Macaca mulatta: one gene and its partner. The protein of the gene in region 1 interacts with the protein of each later gene in a pairwise test. Links are inferred from orthologs where the notes say so. Each region holds a gene or a part of one and is shown on either strand. Other genes may lie near its edges. The genes, in order: MS4A12 and PLLP.

What was found.
Region 2: the proteins of MS4A12 (region 1) and PLLP interact in binary tests that used the Homo sapiens proteins (3 or more experiments, as listed by UniProt). The two-hybrid records come from large-scale screens. The link is inferred for Macaca mulatta from reciprocal best matches to the Homo sapiens genes MS4A12 and PLLP.

The regions. Positions count from the first base shown.
Region 1 is NC_133419.1:13,525,810-13,535,783, reverse strand, and holds part of MS4A12 (membrane-spanning 4-domains subfamily A member 12), read left to right. Parts: intron 1-987; 5' UTR 988-993; coding exon 994-1,272; intron 1,273-4,433; coding exon 4,434-4,571; intron 4,572-5,316; coding exon 5,317-5,373; intron 5,374-7,047; coding exon 7,048-7,164; intron 7,165-9,974. UniProt on the Homo sapiens protein: May be involved in signal transduction as a component of a multimeric receptor complex.
Region 2 is NC_133425.1:52,886,888-52,896,961, reverse strand, and holds the start of PLLP (plasmolipin), read left to right. Parts: upstream 1-3,491; 5' UTR 3,492-3,623; coding exon 3,624-3,758; intron 3,759-10,074. UniProt on the Homo sapiens protein: Main component of the myelin sheath that plays an important role in myelin membrane biogenesis and myelination. Plays an essential function in apical endocytosis. Regulates epithelial development through the regulation of apical endocytosis.

The DNA of each region.
Region 1 (9,974 bases):
AAAGGAATCTAAGGCTAATGACAAATTTTTTAAGTGTCATAATTTTTTTTCAAGAATTAATAGTCATTGTTGTCTATATCCAGTTGTATTGGCTTATTTCCAACAAAATTTCCCTTGGCTACATGGGGCCTGAGATGCTCTAAGCTTTCAGAAGGACAGAAATGAGTAAGAGCATTTTTCCTAAAGAACAGGAGAATCATCTTAAATGGGCATATGTGAACCATCTAGTTTCCCAATTACTGGCAAATAATTTCAATCTTGGACTGCCCTCTTTGCCATACAAGTATTGTATTACTTGGCCCCTGTATTAGTTTTCTATTTCTTGATATAACAAACTACCACAAACACAGTGGCCTAAAACAATATATTATTTTATCTGACAGTTGTGTAGGTCAGAAGTGCCATACCAGCTCACTAGACTAAGGTCAAGGTGTCAGTAGAGTCAGGTTCCTTCCTGGAGACTCTAGGAAGAATCTGTTTCCTTGTTTCATCCAGCTTCTAGAGGTGACCCACATTCCTTGATTCATGGACGCCTTCCTCCATCTTCACAATCAGCAGCATAGCATCTCTCTAATGAGAGATGGGTCCGGGATGAAACTGTTCCACCTCAGATCATCAGGCATTAGAGTCTCATAAGGAGCATGCAACCTAGATCCCCAGCATGTGCAGTTCACAGCAGGGTTCACGCTGCTATGAGAATCCAATGCCGTGCTGATCTGATAGGAGGCAGAGCACAGGCAGTAATGCTTGCCCGCTGCTTACCTCATGTAGTGTGGCCAGATTTCCAACAGACCACCGACGGGTACCAGTCCTTGGCCTGGGGGTTGGGGATTTATGAGAATCATGTTTCTATCAGATGTTATGGACCATTATCTGTCACTTGCTCTCTCCATTATCATAGATAATTGACATTTGATATTTGGTAAGATTTTCTTTAGTTTCTTTTCTGGATAAACGTATCACTTTGGTATGTTTTGTGATACTTAGGACATCATGGTGTCATCCAAGCCAACAAGCCATGCTGGAGTATATGAAACCACACCCAACCCTTACTACCCACCAAGCAGCTTTACGGCTCCTGGATCTCAACAGCCTCCGGGTTCAATCAACTTAGAAAACCAAGCTCAGGGTGCTCAGAGTGCTCAGCCCTACTTCATCACATCTCCAGGAACCTCTGCTGTCAGTCAACCAGGTCAAGGAAATACACAAATGATAAATCCAAGCGTGGGAAGAGCAGTAATAAACTTTAAAGAAGAAGCAAAGGTACTAGGGGTAAGTCTACTTACTACTAGAATTTTAAACTCACATTTGCAAGGTCTTCTTATAAGTTATAGGAGAAGAGAATATCATCCAATTGCTAAAAAGTTTTGAATGTTATTCTGAAACTATCCCTTTTAGACAGAAATATTTAGTCTGCCTATAGACTTTCCCTTGAGTTCATTTCATTTTAGATCAAGCAAAAATATAACAGGAGACAGAGGAGCCTCCCTAGCTGGAGGATTTGGTAATATTGACATGACGGAAACTCTACTACATCTAGCTTGATCTCATTTCTTCAAAGGACTTTTTGGACAATCTCAATCTCGTCTCCAGATTGGTTACAAGTCAGGTATTTGCATAAAGGTGAATTTACATAAAAATGAACATTGATGGCTGCCTCCAGAAAAGGAAACTACAAATGGGCAGTCTGGGAAAGGCTGAGTGTGAAAGAATTGGGGGACGTTCCATCTGTTGTGCCTCTCTCGCCAATATCCTTAGAGATGCTACAGCGTAACTGTCATCTTATTTCTACAAAGGAGACTCTGAACTGACCACCTTGTTTCTGTAGGCATTGTAAAAACAAAAATGCCCTATTTGTAAGAAAATTCCACCTGCCTAGGTAGAATTGTTACTCCCTTCGCTGTGCTTTCCAAATACCTCATTCATCCCGCTAGTACAATTCCACCAAACTATATTAAGTCTCTCCCTGTGAATAGCTTGAAATTCTCTGCTGGAGCATTCCGTAAATGAATGCTCATTATGTGCCAGAAAATCTTCTAGTCATCTTACTACCTATTTCAAGTTGTGATGTTTTAGGGAAGTAAAAATGAGCCTAAGTTCTCTTGCAGCAGCCTATTTACTAAGCTGTGGAGGTGGCCCTTCTGATCCTCCTCCTCCCAGATAGAGGAAATTCCCCACTTCTAATAAGCCAATGGGACAAACCCCCCATACAGCCAACCCCACATAGGTGCTTGGAATATATCACCGAGTACAAAGCAGGTGCAATCTCTGCCTTTACAGAACTTTTGCCCTAGTGGGGGAAATCAGACTGTAAACATAAGAAGGAAGTAAAGTACTTAGTGTATTAGAAGGTGTCGAATGATATGGACAAAACAAAGAAGTGTAAAAGGGCTAAAAAGTACCAGACAGTGAGGAGGCAGCAATTTCAAGGCGGTCAGAATGGGCTTTCCTTAGAACATGACATTTGAGCAAAAACCTGAAGTTAGGAGTGAGCCGTGCAGATATCAGGGAAAGTGAAAACAACCAGTGTAAAAGTCTTTAGATGAAAATATCTGTGATGTATTTGAAAAACAGGGAGAAGGCCAATAAAATAGAACAGAATGAGGGAGGGAGGGAGCAGTTGTCAGGAGGGCAGAGGAGTGGCAGAGGCCACAGCTGGTGAGGCCTGCAGAGCAGAAGGCTTTGGCTTTGACTAAGTGGATGACGAACCACTGAATCACGCTGCCTGGCACCAAAAAGGCGTGTGATAAAAATACTTTAAAAGACTATGAAGTTTTGTTTAAAGCTCCAGTTGGCAGAAGCTACTTCCTCTCTCTGAAGATTGTTATTTCTATACCATCAGCAGGCCCCAGGCATCACGACAGTGCAGGGGCCACAGGTGGCAGGACGTGGCACACCTGTACCAGTCAACTCAGACCTTAAAGTGCTTCTGTGTCCACAAATGCAGACAAATTGTATGTCCAAATTTTTAAGTGTGTCCTATAGGCAATTTTCATCAGTAAATGGTACAGCCAGGGCTGTAGGAGGAGAAATGAGGGCCAGTACAAATCCAGATCTAACTGTCCCTCATCAAGGTGACAGCAAGGATGAGGATGGGAAGTTTGTGGCCAGATGGCTAAATTGCTGCTCTAAAGAAGAGTTGTAAAAACCAAATATAAAGTCTAATACAGGAGTTCTTTAAGTGAGATAGGCTAAAGGAGGCCCATCATGCCTCTGAAACTATATGCAAAAGTATGGTATGTGTGTGTATGGAGGTGCAAGAATAATTTTTTAGGGAGAAAGGTTCACGGTTTTTATCAAAGTCTCAAGAAACTGTTAGCATTGTTTATAAAACTGGGTTTTTTTATTTTAATTCAATTTACTTGTGTTCAGTAGCTTTTTATTGAATAAATACAGCAGTCTTTGTATTTGCAGTCTTCCTGGATAGATAAGGTGTAAACATGGGGAAAAATAAATGACAAATCTACAGTCAACTTTTGGACCAATCTAGAAATGGTTATTCCTCAGAAATCTATCTTTATTTACAGTGAAGGAAGGTTCAATAAGAGGTACAAGGAGCTAAAAGATGCATACCTTACTTTTAGTAATATATGATTGGTAAGAAGAATGGTAAGAAAATGATTGCACACCTGCAACTTTTTAAAAGAGAACAATATCAATGAATACAAAATCAAGTAACAAGGTGTGTTTTATGTCATGAGATGCAACAGAAATTTAGAAAAAAAGAAAAAAGATTAATTTGGTGTAATCAAGAGGGCTTCATGGAAGAGGTAGAGCAGAGCTGAGCATGGGGGAAGACAGTACTGAATAGTTCAGACAGGCTCAGCAGTCAATGTGCTGCGGTAAATTCCCAGATCTGCCCCTCAGGAATTGCATGACCTTGGATACAAGGTCTCACATGTCTTTATGTCTCTGGGACTCAATCCAATTGTGGGAGGACTACATGAAACAATAAATGTAAAGTGTTCAGAACATGACTAAGCACATAATTCATGCCTTATAAATGGTTTTATCTTCACCAGTCCCTTTACCCGTAACTGGGATGACCCAAGCAGAGAACTGATCCATCTGAAAAAGCAACTACTGACATCACAGTTAAAGTATTTTTTTTCTAATAGTCTTTTAGAGGCCTTCAGAGATACTAACACATGATTAAGCAGCTGTACTTTCTGAAGAATTCTTCCTGGGCCACCCCAATAAGTCTCCCCAAATACCTCAAAACAAGGCGCTTCACTAAGGGCTACCTACACTCCAGTTATTCTAGTGTATGTCAGAATCTTCATGGCCCACCTCCTGCTTCAGATGCGTGCCTGAATGACAACCATGGATCTCAGCAAAATTGACAATCAATAAGCAGGGGCAGCAATGACAGTAACGTTTCACACGTCTGAAAGTGAAGAAGTAATTTTAAAATGGTTGTTTTCTTTTTTCAGGTAATCCAGATCATGGTTGGATTGATGCACCTTGGTTTTGGAATTATTTTGTGTTTAACATCATTCTCTTATAGAGGAGTATTCGGTTTTGCCTCTACTGCTGTTATTGGTGGATACCCGTTCTGGGGTGGCCTTTCTGTGAGTAGATTGCTAGAACACCACTCCTTCTTGGTTTATAAAGTATTGATATCTCCAGCCAATTCACAATTCATTTCTTGATAAAGCCCTACATCTGAGGGCTGGAGAATTTAGAAAAATTAACAGCTCTGAACGAGCATAAAAATATCGGGAACTTGTTCACCATTTTATATAGGAGCTTATTCCATTCTTTAAAATGTAATCATGTAACCAGCAAGCCAAAGTTTTGGTTTCCTACTACATTTGAGATGGAAATGTATGTATTGGGTGGAGAGAGAGAGAAAAAAAAAAAAGGTGATTGGAAACATGATTAAAAATATGCAAGTAAGTCAGGCATAGTGGTGTGTGATTGTAGTCCCAGCTACTTGGGAGGCTGAGGCCGGGGAATTGCTTGAGTTCAAGAGATTGAGGCCAGTCTGAGGAATATAGTGAGGCCCAACCTCTAAAAAAATTTTTTTTAATTAAAAAAATGCAATTGATTATGAGAAGGGATGGAGCGTAAGCCTCAGAACAAGGAATGCTTAGACATTACGAGTTCCTCATAGGCCAGAAATTAAGGAGAAAACAATAAAAAAGAAGTCAAGAACATACATGCCTGAGAGTTACCCAGAAAATTTAGAAGTGCAAGAGAAAATTTTGAGAAGGAAGCTAGATGAACGTAAATAGATCAACCTTTTGTATAAAGAGAAACTCCCAAGCACAACCAGTTAACCCATTTCTCAACTAAATTTGTCCATTTCCACAGTTCATTATCTCTGGCTCTCTTTCTGTGTCAGCATCTGAGGAGCTTTCCTCCTGTCTGGTAAGTTAGACTGTTTCTGCTTTTTGAACCCCTTTAATGATTAGCTTAACATACTGGGTAGGAAAATTGAAAAGCTGGATTTGGGAAATGCAAAAGAGAGCACTTTTCCCAAAAAAAATCTATTGGTTGCCTCATGGTCTGAGCGCTCGGGTAGGAGAGTGGTCCACACAGTCTGCCACTAAGAAATGGCAGAGTTCCACATCCTGACTCTTGAACTGACAAGGGTGAGAAGTAGTAAAGATCAGGGTCGTTTAAGCTTTAACCTGAAAGCTCCCTGGTTCAGTCAGGTCACACTCTATTATGGGAAGTCCAAAGGAGAATCCAGGAGCCAGGAAATACCTACTAGCCACATCAGTTACCAAGTCTCTACTGTTAATTTGCCACTTCTCAGCTCTGTCTTGTATTTTTATTTTCACATTTTTGCGTCTTTCCTACTCTTACTCAAGATTGGGTGTGTGTTTTACAATTCTTTAAACTGCCATTAAATGAATCTAGCCTGTTCCGTAAGAAGAGTTTATAAAAATGATCAGTAAGATGGGACCTTGAGTTCTGTTGGTCACAGCACCCCACCTATTGCAATTTCCTAGTCTACTATTGAACCAGGAAAAAGAAAGTGATTTACCATGAATTACAGTCAACTAGAGCAGAGGTGGTGTCAAAATTATATGTAATCCAGCACAAGAGGGAAGAATGGGGAAAGAGGAACACAGTAGTGTATAGCTCATGCTCTTCCAGACAAAACAAGAATAAAATAATTAAATCAAAATAAAATAAAATAAAATAAGCCTAATTCTGATTAACCACTCCTGTTGTAGTCCAAAAACAAAATAAAGCACCCTTTCTCTGCATCCTTTAAGGATCCTTCCCTCTAATTGAGATTGTCCAAGCATAGATTCCATCCTCTCAGAGGAGACAGCCACTGACACTTACCTAAGACAATTTTTCTAAGAGCTTTCAGAGACCATCAGGAGGCTCTAAGGCATGCTGCAGTACAAGCACATTCTAAAGAATTCAACTACGCCACCCCTAGCAAGTCAGCTGCAGATCTGCTTTCACAATTATTCTTCTGCATGTTAAAATCCTATTGTAGAAACTGGGGAAAGATTTGTAGTCACCCATACACCTTTGCCCACAAAAGCTTGAAGAGTTTCTCCTTCTAAATTTGGGGGTGCATATTTAGTTCCTAGAGAGACTTAGGGTTTTCATTAATTCCTAAATTTTTCAGCAAACATGTTGTGTCTAAATACCTTGCCATCTATAAAATCAGATGCTATCATACCACCTCATACAAAAGCTGTAAGAGTTAAGTGAGATAATTTAAATAATTTAACACAGTGTCTGCCACAGAAAAATGCTCATTAGAAGTTTTTTCATTGTTTATAAAGAAAATATAGTTGTTATTGTGCATGAGGCTTTTAGTAAAATACAATAGATGAGTGCCTGCTTTATATGATTTACATTTTTCTACAGCTTTTTACAAGTACCCTACATCTAGGCTGCATACAGAATAATGTTTATAGTAATTACCCAGAAGGGCAGAAAACAGAATAATTTCAACTTGAAAAATTGTTTTGAAAGTTCAAAAATTAAGAACCATGAAATTTGATTGATTCTTATTTCATTTAACTTCAGTGATCCTGTATATAATTGATTTTTGCCTGCCATCTCCACTAGGTGAAAGGCAGCCTGGGAATGAACATTGTTAGTTCTATCTTTGCCTTCATTGGAGTGATTCTGCTGGTGGTGGATATGTGCATCAATGGGACACCTAACCAAGACTATTGGGCCGTGGTAAGTATCCCATAATCCATCATGTGCTTGCTCTCTTTTCAGTCCTGTAAAGTGGGTCTATGTTTTATCTCTTAATACCATACACCAGCTCTAATGGAAAATCTTTTTTCTATTCTAGCCCCACCCCTAGTCATATGATCTCTAGGACTATAGAATAAAGTGAGAGGGTTACCTCTACAGATAGACGGAGGCTTAAAGGACATCCTTTATTGGCCCATCTCACTGTCAATCACATGAACAATGGGGAAGGGTTTCTAAAATTGTCCAAAAATTATTTTCCCAACATTTGAAATTCTATATAAATAAGGTAGTCAAGCTATTGAGTGTTTTTGGTTAAACTTCAGAGTAAAGTATGAAGTGAGAGGTAAATGACAGGGATGAGAACATCCGATTTTTACAGAGAAACCCAAGGAATGAAGCAATTGCAAAATGAAGCACATGCCTCTGAATGTGCTCAAAACAGAATCACACATTCATTAGCCTTATACAGCCAAGCATGGACTCCGACCTTAGGAGGAAATGGGTGGCCCGAGGGCAGGAATGCTTACCATCTATAAGGAATGGAGGAACACGGTATAAAATGAGGTTGGACTGGAAGCTGTCATTCTACCTCAGTGGCCAATTAAGAAGTTTGGTCTTCGTTCTGTGAGCAATGGAAAACCACAGAAGAGTGGTTTTATAGGTTTTGTTTTATTTTATGTTGGGGTTGGTTTTGCTTTTGCTTTTCAGTTTACAAAAAGCAGAGTTTATTAAATTACTGTGGGATACATATATCTTAAGAAAGACACAGAATGACTTCCTTGTATATCAAGAACATGTTAACATTAAGACAATATCACAATATTTTGAACAAATAAACACAATAACATTTCCCTTATCAGTTCACTCAGTACTGTGTAAGTAATTCTGTTCCACGTGATCTCAGAGTGGCAGGCTTATGAAGCCATCTGCTTCTCAACTAAAGGGTTCTGAAATCCTGACTCCAACCGTTGGTATAATCTGAAAGTTGTCTAAGCACTCCCATCAGATGCCTGTCCCCTAGAGTATGTTCTTTGAAGTGTCAATAGTTTGAATTGCTGGCACACTCCTTTTCCACCAAGTTCTGAGACAATCCTTCTTTGTTAAAAACGTAGAAGAGTTTTAGGTCAGGAATTTGAATGATCACTTTTGTGCTTGCAAAGGACAACACTGTTTGCAGCATAAGGAAAAGCTTATATAAGAAGGTATATTCAGTTGTTTTCACACTGCTGATAAAGAAATACCAAAGACTGGGGGAAAAAAAAGGGGTTTAACGAGCTTAGAGTTCCATACGGCTGGGGAGGCCTCACAATCATGGCAGAAGGCAAGGAGGAGCAAATCATGTCTTATATGAATAGGGGCAGGCAAAAAAAAAATAGAGCTTGTGCAGGGAAACTCCTGTTTTTTAAAACCATCGGATCTCATGAGACCCATCCACTATCACAAGAATAGCATGGGAAAGACCCGCCCTCATAATTCAATCATCTCCCACCAGGTTCCTCCCACAACAAGTGGGAATTATGGGAGCTACAAGATGAGATTTGGGTGGGGACACAGAGTCAAACCATATCAGGAGGCAAAAAAAGATGAGAAAGCTTCTTGGTAAATAAGGCAGAGTGAAGCAAGAACAAAATTCATCCTCCAAAATACCAAACAAAAGAACAAAAATTATTCAAAATAACAGCTTTCAAACTGGCATCCAAGTAGAGAAAATAATCATTCTGATGCTACCCAAAGTATCTGAAAAAAAGCACAGCTTTTAGATCTCGCTCTTGTTTCCCTAGAAACAAAACTAAGGAAAGAAGGGAAGCCAAAAAAATTACTGAGAAGTCTCACTAACACTCTCGAGTCTGTAGCTGAGAAGGCTGGGGTGGAGAGCAGTCAATTCTGCGAAAGGATAAAGCAAATCCTGTATGGTACAAGACCATGGGTAGTACCCAGGACCTCAGGAGACAGAAGAAAGGGCAACACCTTCCCATACCCTGCATGGTACCCTGCTACCAGCAGGGAATGAGCAGAAATGCACAGGAATAAACCTCCAGTCAAGGAGCAGGCCTCCATACTAAGCATTTAGCAGGCTCTCAGAAGACAGAAAAAGCAAAGTCCATGTTCACTAGCAAGAACTGTGCTCGGGGCCAGCTAAGCTATATCTCTCCCTGCAACAGCTATATGTTTACATTTAGAAACATGGATATGAAACAACAGCTAGGGCTCATGTTGTAATGGAAGCAAGGAAGACAAATGGGACCCAAATAAACAGAAGTGTGAATGAAGGAAATTTACCTACACTGTATCTGATCAAGTAGAAGGCCTGTATAGAGTTCAAGTGAGCTTAACACTTTTACTTAAAATCGAAATAACATGATTCCGTTCTTACAGATTGATGCTCCTCTCTCTTGGTCTCTGTTTCTTCCTCTCTCACGGCATCTTTCCACACATCCATTCTTCTGCCTTTTCCCCGTACACACAGCGCTAGGATAACAGTCATCAAACATTAGTTTTGGTTATTTCTAAGCAGCGGCATTTTGAATGATCCATTGGTTTCTATATTGCTTGACTTTTTTAACATTTTTATAAAAAAAAAAACGAGGCCGTCACAAAAGAAAAAAAAACTACCTTCTTTCTAATATTTCTAAACAAAATAGCCTACTTACCAAAAGGAAAGACTTCTGGCATTTTAAAGAAAATCCAAAATAACTTCACACTCCTCTGAAACAAGCATTCAATGATACTGGAAAAATAAGCATGGAGCAAGTTGAGTATAAGCAATAGCACATTTGATGAGTCAATAA
Region 2 (10,074 bases), on another chromosome or scaffold:
TCCGCCTGCCTCAGCCTCCCAAAGTGCTGGGATTACAGGCATGAGCCACCATGCCTGGCCACATTTCTGTTGTTTTAAGTCACCAAGTTCATGGCAACTTATAGCAGCCACAGGGCACTAATACAACCCTCTAAATAGCCCTGTGTGATCTGGCCCTGGCCCATGTTGCCGATCTCACCCTTACTCACTTGGCTGTAGCCCCACCAAGGACCTTTTTCTGTTCTCAAAACTGGTCCAGCCTCAGGGCTCCTGCACTTATTAAATTCTTCCCCCAGATTTCCCAAGGCTAGCCCCTACTCATGATTTGGGTCTCTGCATAAATGTCACCTCTTCCCACAGGTCTTTCTTGACCACCTTAACCCAGAAATCACCTGTGGGTGACTCTGTGTCACATTCCCCCATTTTACTTTAGTCACAGCATTTGTCACTATCTGAAAGTATTATTCCTCCCTGGTTTATTACTTCTCATCCCCATCAGACAGTGGGATCCAACGACTGAAATCCTGTCATTTGTGGCAACACAGATGAACCTGGAGGACATCATGAGAGTAAAATAAGCCATGCATAGAAAGACAAACACCACATAGTCTCTCATATATGTGGAATGAAATAAAGAAGTTGATCTCGGCCAGGTGCAGTGGCTCACGCCTATAATCAATCCCAGCACTTTGGGAGGCCGAGGCGGGCGGTTCACCTGATTTCAGGAGTTTGAGACTAGTCTGGTGAACATGGTGAAACCCTGTCTCTACTAAAATTACAAAAAAATTAGCTGGGTGTGCTGGCGGGCGCCTGTTATCCCAGCTACTCAGAAGGCTGAGGCAAGAGAATCGCTTGAACCTGGGAGGCAGAGGTTGCAGTGAGCCGAGGTCACGCCACTGCACTCGAGCCTGGGCAACAAGAGCAAAACGCCACCTCAAATAAATAAATAAATAAATAAATAAATCGATCTCATAGTAGAGTAGAATAGTGGTTACAGGAGGCTGGGGTGTAGTGGGAGGATAGAGACAGATTGGTTAACAGGTACAAAATTACAGTTAGGGCTGGGCATGGTGGTTCACACCTGTAATTCCAGCACTTTGGAAGGTCAAGGCGGGTGGATCACTTGAGGCCAGGAGTGTGAAACCAGTCTGGGCAACATAGTGAGACCCCATCTCTACAAAAAATTTTTTACAACTTAGTTGGGACTGGGTTCGGTGGCTTATGCCTGTAATCCCACCACTTTGGGAGGCCGAGATGGGCAGATCACCAGGTCAGGAGTTTAAGACCAGCCTTGCCAACATGTTGAAACCCAGTCTCTACTACAGATACAAAAAGTTAGCCGGGCGTGGTGGCTTAAGCCTGTAATTCCAGCAAGACTCCATCTCAAAAAAAAAAAAAAATTAGCTGGGCTTGGTGGCATGCATCAGTAGTCTTAGCTACTAGGGAGGCTGAGGTGAGAAGATCGCTTGAGCCTGGGGGTTGGAGGCTGCAGTAAGCTATAATCATGCCACTGCCCTCCAGCCTGGGTGACAGAGTGAGACCTCACCTCAAAATAAATAAAAGGAAAAAGTAAAAACTACCAATATTGCACATTTCTTTTTTTTTTTTTTTTTTTTTACATGGAGTCCTGCTCTGTCACCCAGGCTCTGGAGTGCAGTGGCACGATCTCGGCTCACTGCAACCTCCCTGGGTTCAAGTGATTCTCCTGCCTCAGCCTCCCGAGTAGCTGGGACTACAGGCACCCGCCATCCTGCCTGGCTAATTTTTTTATATTTTTGTAGACGCAGGGTTTCACCATGTTGACCAGGATGGTCTCGAACTCATGACCTTTGGTGATCTCCCCGCTTTGGCTTCCCAAAGTGATGGGATTATAGGCGTGAGCCACCGCACCTGGCCCTAGTATTGTATATTTCAAAATACAGTAGCTAGAAGTGGGGATTTTGAATGTTCTCACCCCAAAGAAGCCATAAATGTATGAGGTGATGGATATGCTAAGTACCTTGATTTGATTTTTTACACAATGTACACAGGTACCAAAACATCACATGGTACTCCACATCTAGGTACAATAATAGGTTGCTGCAAAAGTAATTGCGGTTTTTGCTATTACTTTTAAATGCAAAAAAACAAAATAACTTTTCCACCAACCTAATATTACATGTCAATTAAAAACAATTTTTTAAGTGGCTCTCCTTGAAGTGTAGGTATTTGGGGAAAAAAAATGTGGGAGCCAAGAAGGTCTTGTCTAGTTCGTTTCCACAGGGCCTGGCATGTAGTAGGTGTTCAGCAAACATTGGTTGATGAATGCATGAATGACCTATCTGTGCAAACCTGTAGGCTCAAGGGGTGTGTGTGTGTGTGTGTATATGTCTAAGGATTTTAGGGTGCATGTGTGGCAATGAAACTGTAACCTCGATATGACCTCCCACCTGAGTGACCCCTCCTCCCTCATGCTGTCAGGAACTTTCTACGGAATATTTCATTTACTCTCTACAACGCTCTGTGAGGTTAAGTTTCCTTCAAATCTATATTACAGACGAGGAAACTGAGGCTCCGCGATCATCTAGGTTATATAAAATATGTTCAGAAGTGAAAACTGCATTAATAGGCAGAAAAGGACCTCCCCCTTCTCCTGCGCACCCACCCCTGGGAGCGGGGTCTCCTGGGACACTCTTCTATAAACTACAGAAAGGCGGCCGGGCGCGGTGGCTCACGCCTGTAAACCCAGCACTTTGGGAGGCCGAGGTAGGCGGATCATGAGGTCAGAAATTCGAGAACAGCCTGGCCAATATGGTGAAACCCTGTCTCTACTAAAAATACAAAAAAAAAAAAAAAAAAAAAAAAAAATTAGCCAAGCGTGGTGGCGCGCGCCTGTAGTCCCAGCTACTCGGGAGGCTAAGGCAGGAGAATCACTTGAACCTGGGAAGTGGAGGTTGCAGTGAGCCGTGATTGCGCCACTGCACTCTAGCCTGTGCGACAGAGTGAGACTCTGTCTCAAAAGAAAAAAAAAAAAAATACAGGGTCTCACTGTGTTACCCAGGCTGGTCTCGAACTCTTGGCCTGAAGTTATCCTTTCACCTTAGCCTCCCAAAGTGCTCGGATCAGAGGCAGGAGCCACTGCATCCGGCCCCCCCGGGACTCTCCAAGAGTCGCTGCGCAGGGCCTAGGCCGAGGGTGCACAGCGCGCAGGAAGCGCCTGGGAGAGCGGTGCCCCCCGCGAGCCATCACCAGTTTATCCCTAGGCGCCGAAGCCACCACGGCTTGGGCGAGTGCCAGGAAATTCCCAGCAGGCGGTTTGCCCCGGGCGAGGCCGGCGAAGCGGTCTGGGTTGGTGCTGGCGGAGCAGATTCACGGACCCGGGGTTGTTTACTGGTCCCGGGAGTGGACGCGGCTGCCCACGAACCTGTCGCGGCTGGAGCGGCGGCGGCGAGCAAAGGGTTAAGGGGGCGGCCCTGGTGGCGGGGGCGGGGCTGGGATCTCGGCTGCACCTGGCGCCCCAGGCTCCCAGCCCCGACGCCTCCTGCAGCTCCGGGAGCAGCACCGGGATCGGGAGCCTTGGGGAAGAGCGGCGCGGGAGCCGGCACCCACCGCTGGAGGGGCGGCGACGGCGGCCGGAGCGACCTCGGGAGGCAAGCGGAGCCGCCATGGCCGAGTTCCCGTCGAAAGTGAGCACGCGGACCAGCAGTCCTGCGCAGAGCGCCGGGGCCTCGGTGTCGGCGCTGCGCCCGGACCTGGGCTTCGTGCGCTCCAGCCTCGGGGCGCTCATGCTGCTGCAGCTGGTGAGAGCGCGCGCGGGCCCACGGGTCTGGCCGGGGGCTCCTGGTCTGGCCGGAATGGGTGAGGGACTCCGGCGCTGCGTTCATTCTTCGCGAACCTTGCGCTCCCCACCCGGGCTCACAAGCTCACCGAAGCGCTGCGCGTACCCCTAGGACGCTTCCCGCACGGACGTCCTCAAGATGGCCCTGCAACCCTCTCACCACGAGACTCCCCCGTGGCCGTCCCTGCGAGTGACACTACAGAGTAGGGCCGTCCCTACTCTGTGCACCGTGTACAGAGTGCCCACTGCCCGTGCCCCATCGTGCCCCCTCCAAGGTGGTTACCAGCGGCCACAGAGAAGCCCCCACTGGAGCCACAGTCACTGCGCACAATCCCCCAACCCTTCCCACCCCTCCCTTCCCTCCTTTCTCTTTTTCACCCCTCTTTCTGCCCCGACAGTGCCCCCAGCCCTCCAGGGAACCCAGTCTGAGGCAAAGTCCACTCTCTAACCACCTTCTGCTCCCAGCGGCTCCGCGTGGCCGCACCCCAGAACATTCCTCATCTAATCTAGAGGGCACATCCGGCCCCCCAACACGCACACTCAGGCACTAAACTGTGGGCGCCCGCGCAGGAGCCGGGCTCTTCTAGCTTTCTCTGGGTGACGCGCCAGGTTTCAGCTGGTTTGGCTAGCCCCACGGGGCCTAGATATCGCACCCTGCGCCGGAGGGAGGGGTTTGTGGGTAGCCAGGGGCAAGACTTCTACTCTCTCCCAGAGCCCTGTACAGACCCCAACTGAGGCGGACCCATGGGAACATCCTCCACTCCCAGCCACAGGCCCGGATGTTAGCTGCTGCTTCTGCCACCCTTTCGTGAGGGTCTGGAAGCTGGGTGGGTACCCTGGGTGGGTGAGGGCCTGATACATTTTCAGAGGACTCGGGTGGATTTGGAGTTGGGCCGGGACCTATTTTCCTTTGCAATCCAGCAAGTGGACATTTCCCACTGTCTCCTACTGCTGGGTGCTAGCAGGGCTGCCAGGCCCGAGCTGGAGGGCAGGGTGGTCGCTTTGGTGCCAGACGCTGGGCTGAGGTCCAGTCTCCCTCCGCTGACCTCTCCAGGTGCGGGCCCACCTCCACCTGGGTCAGTGCTATCTCATTTCAGGATTTCTCAGGTCTCTGTGGGCCCCCTCCGCAGCCTCTTAATCATCCTGGCGGGTTTGTTTAAAATTTAGATTATTGGACTCCACCCCCGGAAAAAATGTGCAATTGGAATTTGAATCTCAGGAAGTATAGCCAGAAATCTACATTTTTAACACTTCTCCCAGAGTTTTGTTTGTTTCTCTTTTGTTGGGGGGGGGGAGAAGATTCTATCTTCTGAGGGAAGAGGTCTAGTTCCTGGAATGATTTAATTCTGCAGATGGGGAGAGCCACTGACCCCGCCACTGCTGGAGTGCTGGGCTCTGAGATGGTGGTGAGGGGCACAGCCATGAGCAGCTGCCAGGCTGCCCAGGGGAGAGCCAGGTGGGTGTGAGAAGTGGTGCAAAAGGGCAGAGGAGGAGGAGAGCAATTCCACGACCAGGAAGGCTTCTTGGAGGAGGTGTTTTTTGAGCAGAGACTTCACTGAAATCTGAGGCAGAGGCAGGGAAAGGGTGTTCCAAGGGCAGGGAACAGTGTGAGCGAAGATGTAGTGATGAGAAAGTTGAATTAATTTGCAGGGAGTAACCAACAGGTTGGTGGTGCTGGAGTTGAAGCACTTGTTTCTGATGTGGACAGAAGCCAAGGGCCTTGTGTAATCTCTGCAAGCCACAGGGTCTAGGGTCTGTTGGTGACCTTAAGAGGTTTTGGAACAGAAGAGGGATCTTGCTGGGTGGAGGATGATGACCAGCAAGATCCCTGTGAGGGATCCCTCAGCATGCCTGGTGAGGGGGATCCTGAGGCTGGCCCCTGACGGACAGGAGGATTGCTTGTGGCCAGAAGTTCAAGACCAGCCTGGGCAACATATTGAGACCCTGTCTTTACAAAAAAAGGAAAAAAAAAAAAAAAATAGCCAGGCATGGTGGCATGTACCTGTGGTCTCAGCTACTTGGGAGGCTTGTGCCTGGGAGTTCGAGGCTACCGTGACTTTGATTGCACCACTGCACTCCAGCCTAGGTGGATGAGACTTTGTCTCAAAAAAAAAGAAAAGAAAGAAAGAGACTAACAATAGGGAGAATGGAAGACATTGGAGTAAGAGGAGGATGTTGCTGTGGGCTGCAAGGGTCTTGGTAGCTTCTTCTAGAGAAGGCTTGTTTTCCTGATTGGGGGGTGGGGGCGCATCCCTTGTGGGCTCAGCAATCCAGCCCTGAGCATCTGGGTCCCATTACATAAATGTAGACATTGAGGTCTAGGTAGAAGGACTCACCAGGAGTCCTGTAATAGAGCTTGGCACTTGGGTCTCTTGACTCTCAGGGACTGGGTGTGAGGGGAAGTGGGCTCCTTTTGCTCCCTACCTGCAGTGCCTTTGGGAGGATGAGGGTCTCCCATTAGAGTTCTGAAAATGACCTGCACATTTTAGTGCCTTAGAAATCTGCTTGTTGGGGCCAGGTGTGGTGGCTCACGCCTGTAATCCCAGCACTTTGGGAGGCCGAGGCGGGCGGATCACAATGCAGGAGATCGAAACCATCCTGGCTAACACGGTGAAACCCCATCTCTACTAAAAATACAAAAAATTAGCCGGGTGTGGTGGCGGGCACTTGTAGTCCCAGCTACTGGGGAGGCTGAGGCAGGAGAATGGTGTGAACCCGGGAGGTGGAGCTTGCAGTGAGCTGAGATCATGCTACTGCACTCCAGCCTGGGCGACAGAGTGAGACTGTCTCAATAAAAAAGGAGAAATCTGCTTGTTGGAGAAGCTGCATCCTGAGCTGTTTCTCTGGCAACAGATAGTTCTACTGGGTCTGAAATGGGGTATGTGGGCGTTCATCCAACAGGCACCGCCATCTGCTGGGAAGCCATCGTAGCTCCCATCTATCAGGCCAGCACTAGGCTCAGGCCCTTTGCCAAGGGCTTTAGATCCTCTTAGTCGGCCCCATTTTACAGGTGAGGAAACTAAGGCTCAGAGGTCAGTTCTTTGCCCAAGATCTCACAGCCCTCCTCACAGGAGTGATTTTTCTGACTTTTCTGGCCCATGGTCTTAATGACCACATGTGGCTTTGCTGCTACCTTCCCAGGGTTTGTCATAGAGGGAGTGGTGGGGACCCCGGGCCCAGTGCCCACTTTCCAGGAGCTCTTGGTCAGTGAGAGAGGTGCCCAGAGGATGTGCTTCTCCCAGAGGGATCGGAGAAGGCTGCATGGAGCAGGAAATAAATGAGAAGATGAAAGCTAATTCCCCATCAGACCCCTCTGTTTCCCAGGATTTGATGAATGTTCCTGGTGTGCTGGGAGGAAGGGGAAGTGGGTAGAAAAGCCTCCAGCTCCTGGAGAAGGAGATACACTTTTCATTCAGCATCAGAATGTGTCCTGAAGAACCAGCCTCAGTATTCTTCACAGATGTCTGGTGGTGGTCATTGATTTATCACTATCCTTATTCCTTGTAGATTCAGAAAGAACACCAAATGGAATATGATATTAAATCACATAAGACAGAAGAGTTAAAGCAATGTGTCTTTAAAAGCTGGTAGTGTGGAGGGGAGAATTGACTTGCAGCAAGTTTGAGGCTGTTGATTCTTTGTTGAACTTCCTAGCAGCCTAGGCAAAAAGGGAAACGAAGAATCTATGCAGATAGCCTCTAAAAAAGGAGGCAGGTCTTTGTTTTTTTTAATTTATTTTTTCTGACCAGTGGATTCATGTCACAAGGCATGCAAGTTTGATTTACAGACAACTCTTTTGGTTAAAAAAAAAAAAGGCCTCAGTGCTATACATTTTTGTGTGACTCAGGTCACACAATGCAGAAGGCGTGGTTATTTGTTTAAGGGGAGCTCCCAAAGTCTTTTTTTTTTTTTTTTTTTTTTTTTTTTTGAGGCGGAGTCTTCACTCTGTCGCACAGGCTGGAGTGCAGTGGCACCATCTCAGCTCACTGCAAGCTCCGCCTCCCAGGTTCGCGCCATTCTCCTGCCTCAGCCTCCCGAGTAGCTGGGACTACAAGCGCCCGCTACCGCGCCCGGCTAATTTTTTGTATTTTAGTAGAGACGGGGTTTCACCGTGTTAGCCAGGATGGTCTCGATCTCCTGACCTCGTGATCCGCCCGCCTCGGCCTCCCAAAGTGCAGGGATTACAGGCGTGAGCCACCGCGCCCGGCCCCAAAGCCTTTTTACAATAAGTATAAAGTAGTGCTATTAGGTGCCCATCTCTTATTTTTTCAAGCCTCCCCAAGCCGTGGGGAGAAGGATGATCTTATCTGGATTTATTAATAAGTAAATAGGCTCAGAGAGGGTGAGGAACTTGTCCAAGGTCACACAGGATAGAGTGACAGCTTGGCTTTGCACTTTGATCTGGAAATCCAAAACCTGACTCTAGCTATGCTTCCTCATCTTGTTTATTTTGGGGGTATGAAGTTCTAGAGTGCTTTGGAGGGGTAAAAGGGGGACTTCAGGAAGGGAGACTCATCAGGGGCCAAGGCCATCAGAGACGGCTTCCTGCCATAGGAAGGGAGAAGGAGGATCAGGACAGACCAGAGCTTGTACAGAGACCTGTCAGTCAGTAGGCGCCCTTGAGGCCCAGGACGTGGAAGCTGTGTGAATGCCCTATGGCAGTAAGGCCATTTGGTTTGGTACCTTCTGTCCTTCCATTTTGCCCCACCTCCTGGGATTGGGGGTGGCCACACAATTCCCACTTAGGTGAATAACAGATCAAAACTTCACCTAGCTGGGCAGGTGGCAGGGTGGCACATGCCTGTAGTTCCAGTTACTTGGGAGGCTGAGGCAGGAAGATTGCTTGAGCCTCGGAGTTTGAGGCTGCAGTAAGACTTGATCACGTCACTGCACTCTAGCCTGGGTGACAGAGTAAGACCCCTACTTTTTTTTTTCCTCAAGACAAGGTCTTGCTCTGTCACCCAGGCTGGAGTGTAGTAGTGTGATCACAGCTCACTGCAACCTCAACCTCCCAGCCTCAGGCGATCCTGCCACCTCAGTCCTCCTGAGTATCTGGGACTACAGGTACATGCCACAATGCTTGGCTAAGTTTTTATATTTTTTGTAAATACGGGATTTCATCATGGTGCCCAGACTGATCTATAACTCCTGGGCTCCAGCAATCCATCTGCCTTGGCCTCCCAAAGTGCTCACAGGTGTGAGCCACTGCACCCAGCTCTCTACTCTTAACAACAACAAAAAACAGAAGAGAAGGCTGAGGCAGGAGAATCGCTTGAACTCGGGAGGCAGAGCCCTTGCAGTGAGCCGAGATCACATCACTGCACTCCAGGCTGGGTGACAGAGCAAGACCTTGTCTCAAACAAAAAAATAAAAATAAAGAAAAAGAAATTAGGTAAATAAAGGTATGAAAAAAATGGACACAGCTTGCCGTGCGCTCATACAGAATATCCCTAGGTGTATTGCCGTGGGGGAAAAGCATGGCTTGGCGCATGCACAGAGAGCACCCATCTGTGGTTAAGTGAGGATATGGGTGTTATGTAGAAATATGCATCCACTCACCCTGGAATGAGACACACGGCATGTGGTTGCCTGGGGTGAGGGCAGCTGTGGGGCGTGGTCAGTCAGGGATGAGAGAGATTGCATTTTCATGATTACCCTTTCTACCATTGGAGTGCTTTGTATCATGTCTCTGTAATTTTTTTCAAAGAATAAAACAATTCCATCTCCCTAGATCTCCCTGATCTTCCATCTCCCTAGATCTCCCTAGATCTCCATGATCTATGGGGTGGCATGGAGAGTGTTGATGGGAACACAGGCCTGGATGCTGAGAGCCTTGGGTTCAACGGACTCCGTTCCTTTCTGGCTGCGCGATCGTGGGGGAATTTCCGAATTTCCCTGAGCCTCACTTCCTTGTCTGTCAGATGGTGGTGGCAGGATCTAGATCATGCCTGCGAAGAGCTAGCCTAGCACTGTATGTGGGAATGAAGGACAGTTTGGATTCACAGGGTTACAGGATCCGTGGGTTCTTATGCAAGCATAAGAGGTCCCTTTGCAGCATCTCCAACATGAACTTGCATGCTTCCAGAGGCAGAGAGCTCAGTTCTTCTTAAGGCTCCCTGCTCCATCCTTGGGCACTTGAGAGTGTTGGAAAGTTCTTCCTTATGGTGATACCGGCTCTGTCTCCAGCCCCAGGAGGCAGACCAGCTCCTCTGCAGATGGAGGGCAGGGCAGGGACTGAAAGTCAGCTCTGGTCTCCAGGAAGGGGCTGCCTAGATGAG